3 linked regions of the Mus musculus genome follow. The protein of the gene in region 1 purifies or fractionates together with the protein of each later gene. This does not show direct contact. Links are inferred from orthologs where the notes say so. Each region holds a gene or a part of one and is shown in the gene's direction. Other genes may lie near its edges. The genes, in order: Dnmbp, Dnm2 and Bin3.

Region 1 (4,412 bases):
AGGTGGAGGCAGAGGCAAATGGATCGCTGGGGGTTTGAGACCAGCCTGGTCTACACAGCAAGGTTTAGGACAGTCAAAGCCACATAAGAGAGAGGAGACTCTGTCTCAAAAGAGAAAGTAAGTAAGAAAGAAAGATAATAATACCATTATCTAGGTAGTAGATTGTCATTTTACTTGAAAGGGGGAGAAAAGCTTACTGTTTGACAGGCCGCTGAAGCATTTGATCAATTTCTTTCAAAAACAAAAATCTGGAATATTTATGTTTTACCACAAAAATGCCTTCCTTCAGTGTTCAGACAGCAAAGGAGGAGAATAATGTATGTGAGCAGCAGTTTCACCCCTAGGTACAGCCTCCAAAGAACTGGAAGCAATGGGTCCAGCAGATACGTGTACGATTTGGGTCCTAGCCTTAGCCACAGTAGCCAAAGGGGAAACTCCGCCGAATGCCCAGTGAAGGACAAACGCCTAAACACAACGCAGTATATTTAGCAGTAAAAAGGAAGGAAATTCCGACACATAGAACAGCACAGATGAAACTTAGGGCATTATTCTAACCAAAATAAGGCAGGCACCAAAAGGCCAAGTATTGTAGATTGCATGTATGAGGGTCTTCAGAGTAGACGAATTCTTAAGGACACGAGAGACTAGGAATCGCTGGGAGTGGAGTCCCTGTACGATAAGAGCAGTTTCAGTTTGGGAAGTTGGGGTCCCGGTGCCGGACAAGATGATGGATGCGTAGCAATGTGAATTTACCTACTCTGATGGACTGCACGCACACTTGACAATGGTTCAAACGATACACTTTATGCTATGTCTAGTTTACTACGATTTTTGAAGAGTCAAGAAACAATCTAGCTGATGAGATTTTAAAATAAAGCCTTATCTCTGCTGTGTGTGCATAGTGATATATGATTCCTGCATTCCTCAAATCTGCTAGGTCGGTCCCCGCGCTTGCACCAGCTCCTCCACGCACTTGCGATCTTTAACAGTCAGAAGTCTTCCGGGACTTTTCAGAAACCGGGACGTTTGGTTCTAGTATTCTGTGATTCCTTGCTTTTAAATTCTCAAAATTGTCCTGTGAGACTTTGCTCGGGAGAAAAGAAAAAAAAATCGATGAGGAGTGGGCAGTAACCTGATGGTGTTCCCCTGTAATCCAGCACTTGGAGGAGTGAAGGACGATGGAAGGTTCAAGGCTAGCCTCCGCCTCGGAGTAAGAGAATTCGCGCAGCGGAGAATTTGAGTTCTCTAGGTTGGCGGTAGCGCGAGTGCGTGGGGATCTGGATCCTAGCCTGAGCGAGGTGTGTCGCTAAACGCCCCCACGCAGTCCGTGCCTCAGTTTCCCTGAAAGGCCCTGGGAGCCCGAGCCCTGACGTGGCGGAGCGACGGGCTAGGCGGCCGCCAGGGGGCGCGAGCGCGGGAAACGGAGCCGGGGGCCACCGGACGGAAGCGGCGCTAAGGGAGGCGGGGCGGCGCGGAGTCACCCGGATCGGCCCGCCCGCCCGCCGCCGCTGAGGGGAGGTGACCGCGGCCCGGCCGGGCCACCAGTGGCTGTGCGCGGAGGGAACGCCGAGCGGCAGAGAGCAGGTCGGTGCGGGGCCGGGCGTCCGTGGGGTGGCGGGGTGGTGGGGTAGCGGGGACGGTCGCCTGCGGGGCGCGCGGGGCTTGCGGCGCAGCTCTCGGTCGCGCTGAGCTGCGCTCCGCGAGACGCGAGGCCCTCGCTGTCTTCACTCACGGCCGAGGGGGTGCAGGGGGGGGGGGGCAGCAGCCCTAGGGACCGTCCCGGGGCGCGGACCGGGGGGCGAGGTGTCCAGCCGGGGCGCTGTCACTGCGCCGCCCTGCCTCTTGGCTTTGAGTTGAAGAACTGAGCCCCAGTCCTGCTCCTGGTCACTGCTGCAGCTGGTGGGCATGAGAGGCCGGGATTTCGTGACAGCCAGGCAGCGATGGTTTCCCAAATAACCCGGGACTATTTATATTTAGCTGGAGATGCAGTTTTGGCTTACTGGAGTTTTTAGGTACCCAGGACGATTGCATGCTTGTGTCAGAGGAGGATGGTTGTCACTCGAATAAAGGGGTGTTGGGGTGACCGGACAGGACAGCATGTGGTGTGTATTAAGAGCTGCGAAGGGTGTTTTTAGGGCACAGGGTCGTGTTGAAAAACCAACTTGAAAAGCAAGGTCGCATGTGGGATTATGGCTGGCAAATTCTGTAACCTGTCTGACAGTGTTTCTTTTATAGTCTTGGGAGCACCTTGTGGAACTTCCTAATTAATAATGGTGACAAGCTAGTGATGACACCGATTCTCTGGTAGGAGCATAGTTTGGACTCCACTGTGCTTAGTCGAGTTACATGCCGCTGATAGAGCTGACTAATCAACAGGCGATTTTTGCAGCAAGCAGACCTGATTTCTCAGTTAGGGCTGCATTTATAAAACAGTCGTAGGAAAAGCATAGTCGAGGTGTAGTGTTCAAGTTAGTGTATCCATCGGGCCTCATTCCCCCTAAACTACTGAATCTCGTGATCTCTCAGGCCCTTCCACCGCTAAAGTCTTTCATTTGTATTTGAAGCCGATCCCTCCTGGTGACAACAAAGTCCTAGGAAAACAAAGTTAATTTTACAAATTATGTAGCAGATGTTCAACTTCACTGTCGCTCCCCGCTCCCCCACTCACATAATATTGGGTTGAAATGAGTGAAACCTGTTGTGTGTGTGTGTGTGTCATTCATGTTTCTGTGTTAATGTCACCCAATGGCTTGTCTAGACAGAGATCTTGGTGTGTAGTGGGGAAGTGCTAAGTCTGGCATGGGAGTGACTTGCATGTTGTCACAGGTAGTTTTTCCAACAAGCCAAGAACATTTTGACTCAAACTGTGCTAACTTTTAAGCTAACTTTTATCACATTGTGTATGGTTTGGGCTGGCGCGTGATAGTAATCTTTATAGATGCTGTTCAAATATGTATGAACTATTTGTCCTTTAACCCACAAAGTAGGGCCTCCTAACCTCTTCACCCCCTCTTTTCTGGCACCGAGCTCCGAGCATCCCCTTAGCCTGTGAGACCCTCTTCACATTCCTCCTTCACCCACGTGGCAGGGCGGGGCCTTGCCCCACTGAGCTTGCTGTACCACAGGATGCTCTACCCCTGCCGAAGGGTCAGGGTCGAGCAGACTCTGTTCTGAATGTTTATCTCGGTGTTTCCAGAGCAGAGCTCTTTCCCTGTGCCTTAGAAGGAAGCGTTTTTTCAGCATGCTGCCTTCCAGCGCTTCAAGTTCATCACCGTTCCCAGCCTTCTGGGTCACTTTGCTCTGTACAGGGCTAAAATAAATGCAGAGTCGTATTTTAAGCTACAGATTGCTTAGTCTTAAGTTGGGCAGGGTGGGAAGGCACACTTTTAAAAGTGATTCAAACCGTTTACAAGCAAAGGCTTGCTGCCTACCAGCAGTTACAAAGCTTGGCTTATTTTTCCAGTTTTTTTTTTCCCCGACTATGGGACAAAACACAAATCAGTTAGCATATTGCCTGTGACTTTGCTACTATTTCAGGATCCTATGAGGCTCTCAAGCAATGCTGCTGTTGTTGTTGTTAATAAAACACTCTTGAGACTCATTCACTCCTCAAAAGTTCCATGTCAGTGAATGTGTAATTTTTTATTATTATTATACCCAGCCGTGAAAGCATCTCAATAAACTAATTTTCAAGACTAAATAACTCAGTCTTGCTTTTGGGAGTTCATTATGAGATAGCTTCTCACCTGGAGAGCAGGATCCCAGCGATAACCACACCACCCCCATCCCAAATCCCCCATCCCCCATGAAAGAACTATTTTATATACTGGGTGCTAACTTAGCTGCTTTATCCTTGGTGTTAAAAAGAAAGCCATAGCTGGGCGTGGTGGCGCACGCCTTTAATCCGGCGCTTGCGGATTTCTGAGTTTGAGGCCTGCCTGGTCTACAAAGTGAGTTCCAGGACAGCCAGGGCTACAGAGAAACTCTGTCTCGAAAAACCAAAAAAAAAAAAAAAAAAAGAAAGAAAAAGAAAAGAAAAGAAAAGAAAAGGAAAGAAAAGGAAAGGAAAGGAAAGGAAAGGAAAGGAAAGGAAAGGAAAGGAAAGAAAAGAAAAGAAAAGAAAAGAAAAGAAAAGAAAAGAAAAGAAAAGAAAAGAAAGCCATACTGCCTGGTGCGGTGTGTGGTGACTCAGGACTTTAATTCTTTAAACTCAGGTGGATTTCTGTGAGTTTGAGGCCAGCCAAGGTTACATAGTGAGATCTTGTCTTAGAGAGAGAGAGAGAGAGAGAGAGAGAGAGAGAGAGAGAGAGAGAGAGAGAAGCAGCCACAGGGTAACTAAAATGAATTATTTCATCTTTGGCTTTGTAAGTCTTTTCTGTAGGCTAAAGATATGTGGCTACTGAGGCCTGAGA
Region 2 (3,641 bases), on another chromosome or scaffold:
TGAGGGGGTTCCTGCGTGCTGGGGTCTACCCAGAGAAGGAAAAGGTGAGGGGGTTCCTGCGCGCTGGGGTCTACCCAGAGAAGGACCAGGTGAGGGGTTCCTGTGTGCTGGGGTCTACCCAGAGAAGGAAAAGGTGAGGGGTTCCTGTGTGCTGGGGTCTACCCAGAGAAGGACCAGGTGAGGGGGTTCCTGTGTGCTGGGGTCTACCCAGAGAAGGAAAAGGTGAGGGGTTCCTGTGTGCTGGGGTCTACCCAGAGAAGGAAAAGGTGAGGGGTTCCTGCGTGCTGGGGTCTACCCAGAGAAGGACCAGGTGAGGGGGTTCCTGTGTGCTGGGGTCTACCCAGAGAAGGACCAGGTGAGGGGTTCCTGTGTGCTGGGGTCTACCCAGAGAAGGACCAGGTGAAGTGTTCCTGTATGCTGGGGTCTACCCAGAGAAGGACCAGGTGAGGGGGTTCCTGCGCGCTGGGGTCTACCCAGAGAAGGAAAAGGTGAAGGGACACCTTCCCTGCTGACCCTGCATGGAGGAAGGGACCCGTGATTTCTAGGCCAAGCGTGTCAAGTCAGCTTTTCTTTGCTATGGAGATGGCTTAGGTGATAGCATGAGGCCTGAATGTTAGCCCTAGAACTCAGTCAGGAGCTATGTGTGGTGGTGCACACTGGGGCTCAGGAGCCAGCCAGCCATAGCACAGCAGAGATCTCCAGGTCCTAGTGAGAGGCCCCGACTCAAAAGTCAATCTAAAAGAACACTAATAACAAGCCAGACACAGCAGATAGCGTATGTGCCTATAGTTGTTGCAGAGTCTGGCAAAGTGGACACACTTGGGGTGAAAAGGGGAGTATGGATCCCTAACGCCCACTTACCAGACAGCCTAGAAAAACCTACAAACTCCAGATTCAGTGAGAGTCCCTGTCTCAAAATGTATTGTGTTTTGTTTTTAGGGTGTGTCTCTGACTAGCCTATAGTTTAGTCTGTAGACCAGGCTGGCCTTAAACTCAGATCTATCTGCTCCTGCCTCCTGAATGCTACAAGGCCTGGGATACAATGTAATAACAGGTCCTGGTATGTTGATGCACACCTTTAATCCCATTTCAAGACCAGCTTTGACTCTATAGTGAGCTCTAGGATAGCCAGGACTATGTAGAACCTGTCATTCATTCATAGACAGACAGACAGACAGACAGACAGACAGACAGACAGACAGAGTAAACATAAAAGTTCTGAGGCACTGAGTTGGGATAGACTACATGCACACAATGTGTAAGGGTGATATGCACATAAGGTACATACATGAAACACAAGTGAATAAATACCTGCTACACACCAAGGGAAAGAAATGTTCAGTTTGGCTCCCAATGTTAGAGGGCTCAGTCCATGGCTGCATGGTCCCATGTGTATAGGCTGTCTCATGGCAGTGGTATTGAGGTGCGGAAGCGAGAAGCAGAGGGGAAGGCATGAAAGGGCTGGGGCCAAGGTATCCCTGGGGATACACACCTAGTGGCCTACTTCCCCCAGCCTGAAGTTTTCAGAGCTTCACAAGTAACAGTAGTATGGTTCTAAAAGGACGGCTTTGCAGACAGAAGCCATGGCTACTCCTCAAAGGATCCAAGTTCAGTCCCCACCACCCACATGACAGTTGACAGCTGTCTGTGGCCTCTGGACACCTGCACACACACACTGCATATACACATACCATACCAATGTACACATAAAAATCAGAAGTACAGTACTGTCAGCTGAGACTCAAGGGACCAACACCTGAGCCCTAGGGACATCCCATATTCAAACCATAGCAGCATACTTCAGACCTCAGAGGGCACCAAGCTGGTACCCACTGAGTCAAGCGAAGCGGAGGAGGCATGGGTTGTCATCAGGGTCCAGAAGTTCTCCAGAAGGGGTTCTCCATGGTGAGGACGGCAAGAGCACTTAGGGTTCATCCACCTTGTTGTCTTTTCCCTCTTGTCCTTGGGGTGAAGTCACTACAGACCCTGGCCATCCAAAGGGAGGCTGTGTTCTCATCCCCCGGCTCTAACCAGTGTTACCCCAGTGCAGACTACAAGGTCTACCAGGGCCATCTGGAACACACTCAGGTGGGGCATTTGTCAGCAGGGTAGGCCCAGCACAGTGAACCATCCCCCTCTGTGTCCTCTGCAGGCAGAGAATGAGGATGGAGCACAAGAGAACACCTTCTCCATGGACCCGCAGCTGGAGCGACAGGTGGAGACCATCCGTAACCTGGTGGACTCCTACGTGGCCATCATCAACAAGTCCATCCGTGACCTTATGCCAAAGACCATCATGCACCTCATGATCAACAACGTGAGTGACAGCTTCCAAGTCACCAAAGATCCTAGCCGCATGCCAGTCAGCCCAGCACCAGCAGGTGGAAGCAGGAGAGTCACAAGTCCACCATCCTCTCAGATACTCAGCCGGTGTAGGGGGCTTTCACTGTGAGACCTTGTCTCAGCAATGACAACTGGGGAAGACGGGGGGAGGGGTGGGGGGTCAGAAGGTAAAGGCGCGCGTGCACGTGCACACACACACACAGTCAATACATACTGTTAACTTAAAAGCAAACCTAATTTTAAAAAGCTGTGCAAAGTTAGAACAAGTTGGTTTGTTTAGTAGCTTTTTGGGGTTTTGGTGTGTTGGTTGGTTGGGTGGGTGGGTGGGTGGGTGGTTGGTGTGTAGGTTGGTTGGTTGGTGTGTTGGTGGGCTGCTTGGTGTGTTGGTGGGCTGCTTGGTGTGTTGGTGGGTTGCTTGGTGTGTTGGTGGGTTGCTTGGTGTGTTGGTGGGTTGCTTGGTTGGTTTGGTTGGTTGGTTTTTGTGGTATTGGAGATTGAACCCAAGGCATGGTGATTCTTAGGCAAGCACTGAATGACTGAGCACCTCAGCTCCTTCCCTGGGAGATTCTAGGCAGAAGCTTTACAGCTAAACTTGACTCTCACTCAGTCTGTGATGGATGCTTTCCCAATCTCAACAGGCTTCTGAGTTATTGGCTAATATAGGGGTCTGACCTTTCCTTCCCACCACTGTCCTCAGACAAAGGCCTTCATCCACCATGAGCTGCTGGCTTACCTGTATTCATCAGCAGACCAGAGCAGCCTCATGGAAGAGTCAGCCGAGCAGGCTCAGCGGCGGGACGACATGCTGCGCATGTACCACGCACTGAAGGAGGCCCTCAACATTATTGGGGACATCAGCACCAGCACCGTGTCCACACCCGTGCCCCCACCGGTCGATGACACGTGGCTCCAAAACACCAGCGGCCACAGGTCTGGACAGCAGTTTGTCCCCCAATGTGCATATACAAGTTCAAGCCCCACCCTTCCTATTCCTTCTGTCCCATTAGGAAATAGTTCACAGCTGAAGTTTGGAAAGGGACAAGAGTCTTAAGTGAATGGCACAACACCTGTTCTGCTTAAAGCCACAGGGGAGCCATGGCTTCCAGGTGCCAACCTGAGCTAGATCTCTGGAGGAGAAAACCGCACACCCCAATTCTCCACCAACTCTTGCATCTTCTAGTGCTTTCTCCGTGGGTCCAAGTAGAAAGCAAAAGCAAGAAGCCCAGGAGACAGTTACCCGAGGTTGGCCTCTTAGAACATAGAGACGGTACAGAACACGTTTTAGAAGGCCTGTAGAA
Region 3 (4,095 bases), on another chromosome or scaffold:
AGCCATCCACAAGTGCTGGAACACCAAGAGACTCACAATCACACAGTGTTTCCATTCATCTCACCCCATACAAAGCTGCAAGACTCTCCCAACCCATGCTCTCTGCCTCAGCTGTTTGTCAAGGATTCTGGGTCTTCTATTCTCTTCAAGACCACTCCTTTGCTCCTGCTTACTTATTTCCTGAAGAAATAGCATGGTGATGGTCTGTGACATGTCTTGAGGGAGCCACCTCCTATTGGAAAGCCTTTTTAAAACTAAAAGCCATCCCTTGTTCCTCCTCCTCTGAGCCCCTGGGCCCTGGGAATTTGGGACACGTTGTATATACCTCTGCTCTAGGTCATAGGGACTTAGCTGCTCCCCTGGCTGTGCCTACAACCCTCCAGGTACATTTGAAGAAAGCGAAGTCCTAGAGAGGTCAGGAGAGAGGATTGGAACGGTTCTCTCTGCTTGAGTTTCTGGCTTCTAAAGCAGGAACTTGGGCAGAGAAACTCGGTTCAGCGTATAACTCTAGGTAGTTTGTGGTACACTGGGGCTCTGAATTCTGAGGCCCAATGCAAGCTGTTTGCTTAGATCTTATTCTTCTAAAACCCCATGCACAGCTCCAGGGGCCCCTAACAGCCTGTCCAGCAACTTGTTAGGATTTTTCCTAACATTGCCGAGGCCTTCTACTCCTGTTGTTGTTGTTTTGTTTGCTAGGCTTTGGTGTATTGTTTTCTCTTAAGACTGGATTGATTGTGAAGCCCAGATGGGCCATGTTGTCAACATTAGCCTCGAACTCATGACCTCTCCCTGCCTCAACCTCCAGAATTCGGGGATTGCAGATACCTGTCTGTCATCACACCGGGCTTTCTGAATCTTCCCTCATTGAATAGCTTCACAGACTAGTCCACCCTGAAAAGCACTTAACTCTGTTTCCATTCGAACCCCGAACCTTCTTGAAGAGGGGGGAGGGGACCCAGGTGATGTAGGTGAGACATGCAACATTTTCAATACGAAAGTGTGTAGAGCAAAGCGCAAGCTTCCCGTCTACTGTGTCTCCTCTAGCTCCTTCCCCTGTCGCCGCTTGTGTCTCCGAGTTAGAAACCCCATATCAGACAGAAACTGCAGCCCGTGATGGGTTCTACGCACAGAGCCTTAAAAGCAGGGCCGGAGCGCAACCACGTCCCGCAAAGAAAGTCCGCCTCAAACAACAAGAGAACAAAGTGTTAACGCGTGGGCCCGCCTCCCTCCCGCCTCTTCCGGGCATAAGGGGGCGTGTCCCTCATCACTTCCTGGAGACTGGCCGAATCCGGAAGTGATCCTCGAGAACCTACTTTTCTACCGAGGACCCCGGCAGTCGGCGTGGGTTTAGGACCATGAGCTGGTGAGTGAGGCCGGGTGGCGTCGGCTGGAGCCAGGGCGGCCCGACAGCCCTGCTCCTAAGCGGTTCCGGGAGCCTCCTCGGTGCTCTCCCGGAGGCTCCATCTCTCGGCCAGACTCCCGAGGAGGATCCCTTAGCCTTGGACCCGCGTCTGATCCCTGTTGCCTGCCCTTTCTCCCATCGCATTTCCTTTCACCTCCTTGGCGTGAGGAGTCCCTCTTCCCTCTTCTCTCAGCTATCCATTGAGGTGGAGTCAGTGTCCTCCTTCGCTCCCGTGGGCATCTCTACACCGCGCTTATCTGCTCCGGAGCTGTGTTGCTCATTGAGGCAGACTAGGCACAGTTCTGTGACCAAAATCCAGCTGCTTTCAGACAACTGGAATAACATCACCTAACAGTGCCTCAAAAGACGAAATTCTTTTTAAAAATGTAAAAGTTGATTCTCACATGGGAAGGATCAGAATTGCACCACACACACACACACACACACACACACACACACACACATTTAATGTGTGATTGGACTGTTTGAATCTTTCCAGGGCTGTGACCCCACTGCCCTCTCTCTAAGATAGACATAGCTTAAACTTTATGGGGATCGTCAAACCAAGGAGCCATAGAGCTGGAATGTCACAGCTGCAGATGGGGGTGGGGGGAGCTCACGGTGGATACTTCCTGTTTGTGATTAGCCTAATGTGGAAGGTCCTCTTTCCCCAAAAGCTGGTCCTTAATTGTTGCTCTGGGGTTTTTGTTTTTGTTTTTACGTGCAGATGAAAAGTCATAAATTTTCTGTCTTCCTAGGGCTTCTTTAAAGGCTGTCAATGTCTTTACCATTAGGCCCAAGAGCCTGTGTGTCCATGGTCCCCACTCAAACTCCTAACTGTTTACAATGCATTTGTATGAATAAATTGGCCTCCAAGGAAGTATGAGATTAATCAGCCCTCTTTAGATCCCAAGGTGCATTAATGTAGGGGGCTGGACTTGCTCAGAGCCCAGTCTGTTATGCAAAATAAGTGCATGATAATCAGCTATGAATGAATGAAATTAGCTAGACACCCTCTGAGAAGGCTTTCACACTTGACCACCAGTGGAGACCAAGCTTTCGCCACAAGCAGCTAATGTCAGTCAATGTCAAGGATAGCTTTCTAATGTACAGTGTAAACCACTTCTGCCCCTTCCTCCACCTGCTTCTCAGACTGAGGTTAATTGGTGGACAAATGTCAGACAGCTGGAGAAGCAGGGAACAGAACACACACACACACACACACACACACACACCCGCGAAGCTCTAATAAGCCTCAGCAGGAGATACTCATTTCCCCTCAACCTCTTCCTCCAAGAGGCCCACAGAAAGCTGGAACCCCTAAAAGCTAACTTCCCCATCTTGTTACAGCTTAGCTAGTGACAGGTCAAGGGGCACTTCCTCAGTTCCCTTTGCTAAAGGGAAATCTCCTGAAGCAGAGTCGTTTCTTTTAAGCATCAGTCTGTGTACCTCCAGCTTCATGATGCTAGAAGTCATCTTGGTTTATGCACCTTGAATCTTTGAATCTCTCTTGCCTAATTTTTAAAAATAAAAAAGAAAGTATAGGTGCTTTCCGTTTAGACTGACATTTCTATTTTAAAAAAAAAAAATAGAATAAGTGGAACAGAGGCCACTAGAGGTGTTGGTTCTCTGAATGGGCTCCTCCTCCTCTTCCTCCTCCTCTTCTTCCTTCTCCTCCTCTTCCTCCTCCTTTTCTTGAAAACTAGCATTTTTTTTTCCAAACCATTTTCCAACAAAGCCCATCAGGTTGGAGAGACTTGGAATTGGCAGCCACTAACAGGGCTGAGGTTGTCATGAACTACTTGGCCAGTACAAGCACATCTTAGTGCCTCTTTGGACGGAGGGTCACAACCAAAAGCATGGCTTTGTCCCTGAAGGAAGAGATCCATTTCTCTTCCTGCTTCGAGGGCTTCTACGTCATCTCTTGCGTGGACCCTGACCCTCTCTCCCAGAGAGGGGACCAACGCCCGTGCCTGGGCACACAATCGCACTCAGTTCCTAGCTCAATGGCTGGCAGGGGAACGAGAGTTGGGTCCTTCTGACTCACTCGCAGCGTGGTTTTTCTGCTCCCAGAATGAATCCATCCATTCATCTGAGATTGGAATTTTCACTAGGGGAAGAGACCAGAGTGACGTAGAGCCATCATGGGAGGCTGATGCCCAAGGTCAAGTTCACCAAGTACATGGACTAGGCCAAGCCTAGTTAAATAAGGCCTGAGGCTGCTGTGGTCCGTGGTGCCCAAAGGGTATCCATTGTTCTGGACTAGGCTGTCCTTTCAAAATGTCACAGTGAGAAATGTCCAATATTGATGCCCTTTGCACACTGTGGACTTTGCAGGAAGAGTAAGAGGTCTTTGTTTGTTTCTTTCACTGTGCAGGCAGCCTGCATAACCCCTGTTTATTTAGTGAGTACCTGCACTACCACCACCCACCTACCCATTAGCCTTCCAGCAAGGCAACTCAGTGGTCTGCCCGATTTGGAAGGAAGCATTGGATATTTGCCTCTCAGAGCACTAGTCCACCTCTTGGCCCCAAATCACACGCTCCCCACTTTGTCCTCACCCCTGCTCCACCTGTTTCTGCATAACTGTGTATTCAGTGCAGTATGTTGTGAAAATGAACTACAACTAAAGGTAATTGCCGGGCATGGTGGTACACACCTTTAATTCTAGCACCAGGGATTAAGGCCAAACT

Evidence for each region.
Region 2: the proteins of Dnmbp (region 1) and Dnm2 purify together in Homo sapiens (co-immunoprecipitation; 3 studies listed by BioGRID and IntAct, with this or other methods). This does not show direct contact. The link is inferred for Mus musculus from reciprocal best matches to the Homo sapiens genes DNMBP and DNM2.
Region 3: the proteins of Dnmbp (region 1) and Bin3 purify together in Homo sapiens (co-immunoprecipitation; 5 studies listed by BioGRID and IntAct, counting the BioPlex papers as one, with this or other methods). This does not show direct contact. The link is inferred for Mus musculus from reciprocal best matches to the Homo sapiens genes DNMBP and BIN3.

What each region holds. Positions count from the first base shown.
Region 1 is NC_000085.6:43,937,289-43,941,700, reverse strand, and holds the start of Dnmbp (dynamin-binding protein), read left to right. Parts: upstream 1-1,502; 5' UTR 1,503-1,584; intron 1,585-4,412. UniProt on the Homo sapiens protein: Plays a critical role as a guanine nucleotide exchange factor (GEF) for CDC42 in several intracellular processes associated with the actin and microtubule cytoskeleton.
Region 2 is NC_000075.6:21,501,390-21,505,030, forward strand, and holds part of Dnm2 (dynamin-2), read left to right. Parts: intron 1-2,152; coding exon 2,153-2,317; intron 2,318-3,040; coding exon 3,041-3,273; intron 3,274-3,641. UniProt on the Homo sapiens protein: Catalyzes the hydrolysis of GTP and utilizes this energy to mediate vesicle scission at plasma membrane during endocytosis and filament remodeling at many actin structures during organization of the actin cytoskeleton.
Region 3 is NC_000080.6:70,098,834-70,102,928, forward strand, and holds the start of Bin3 (bridging integrator 3), read left to right. Parts: upstream 1-1,259; 5' UTR 1,260-1,355; coding exon 1,356-1,363; intron 1,364-4,095. UniProt on the Homo sapiens protein: Involved in cytokinesis and septation where it has a role in the localization of F-actin.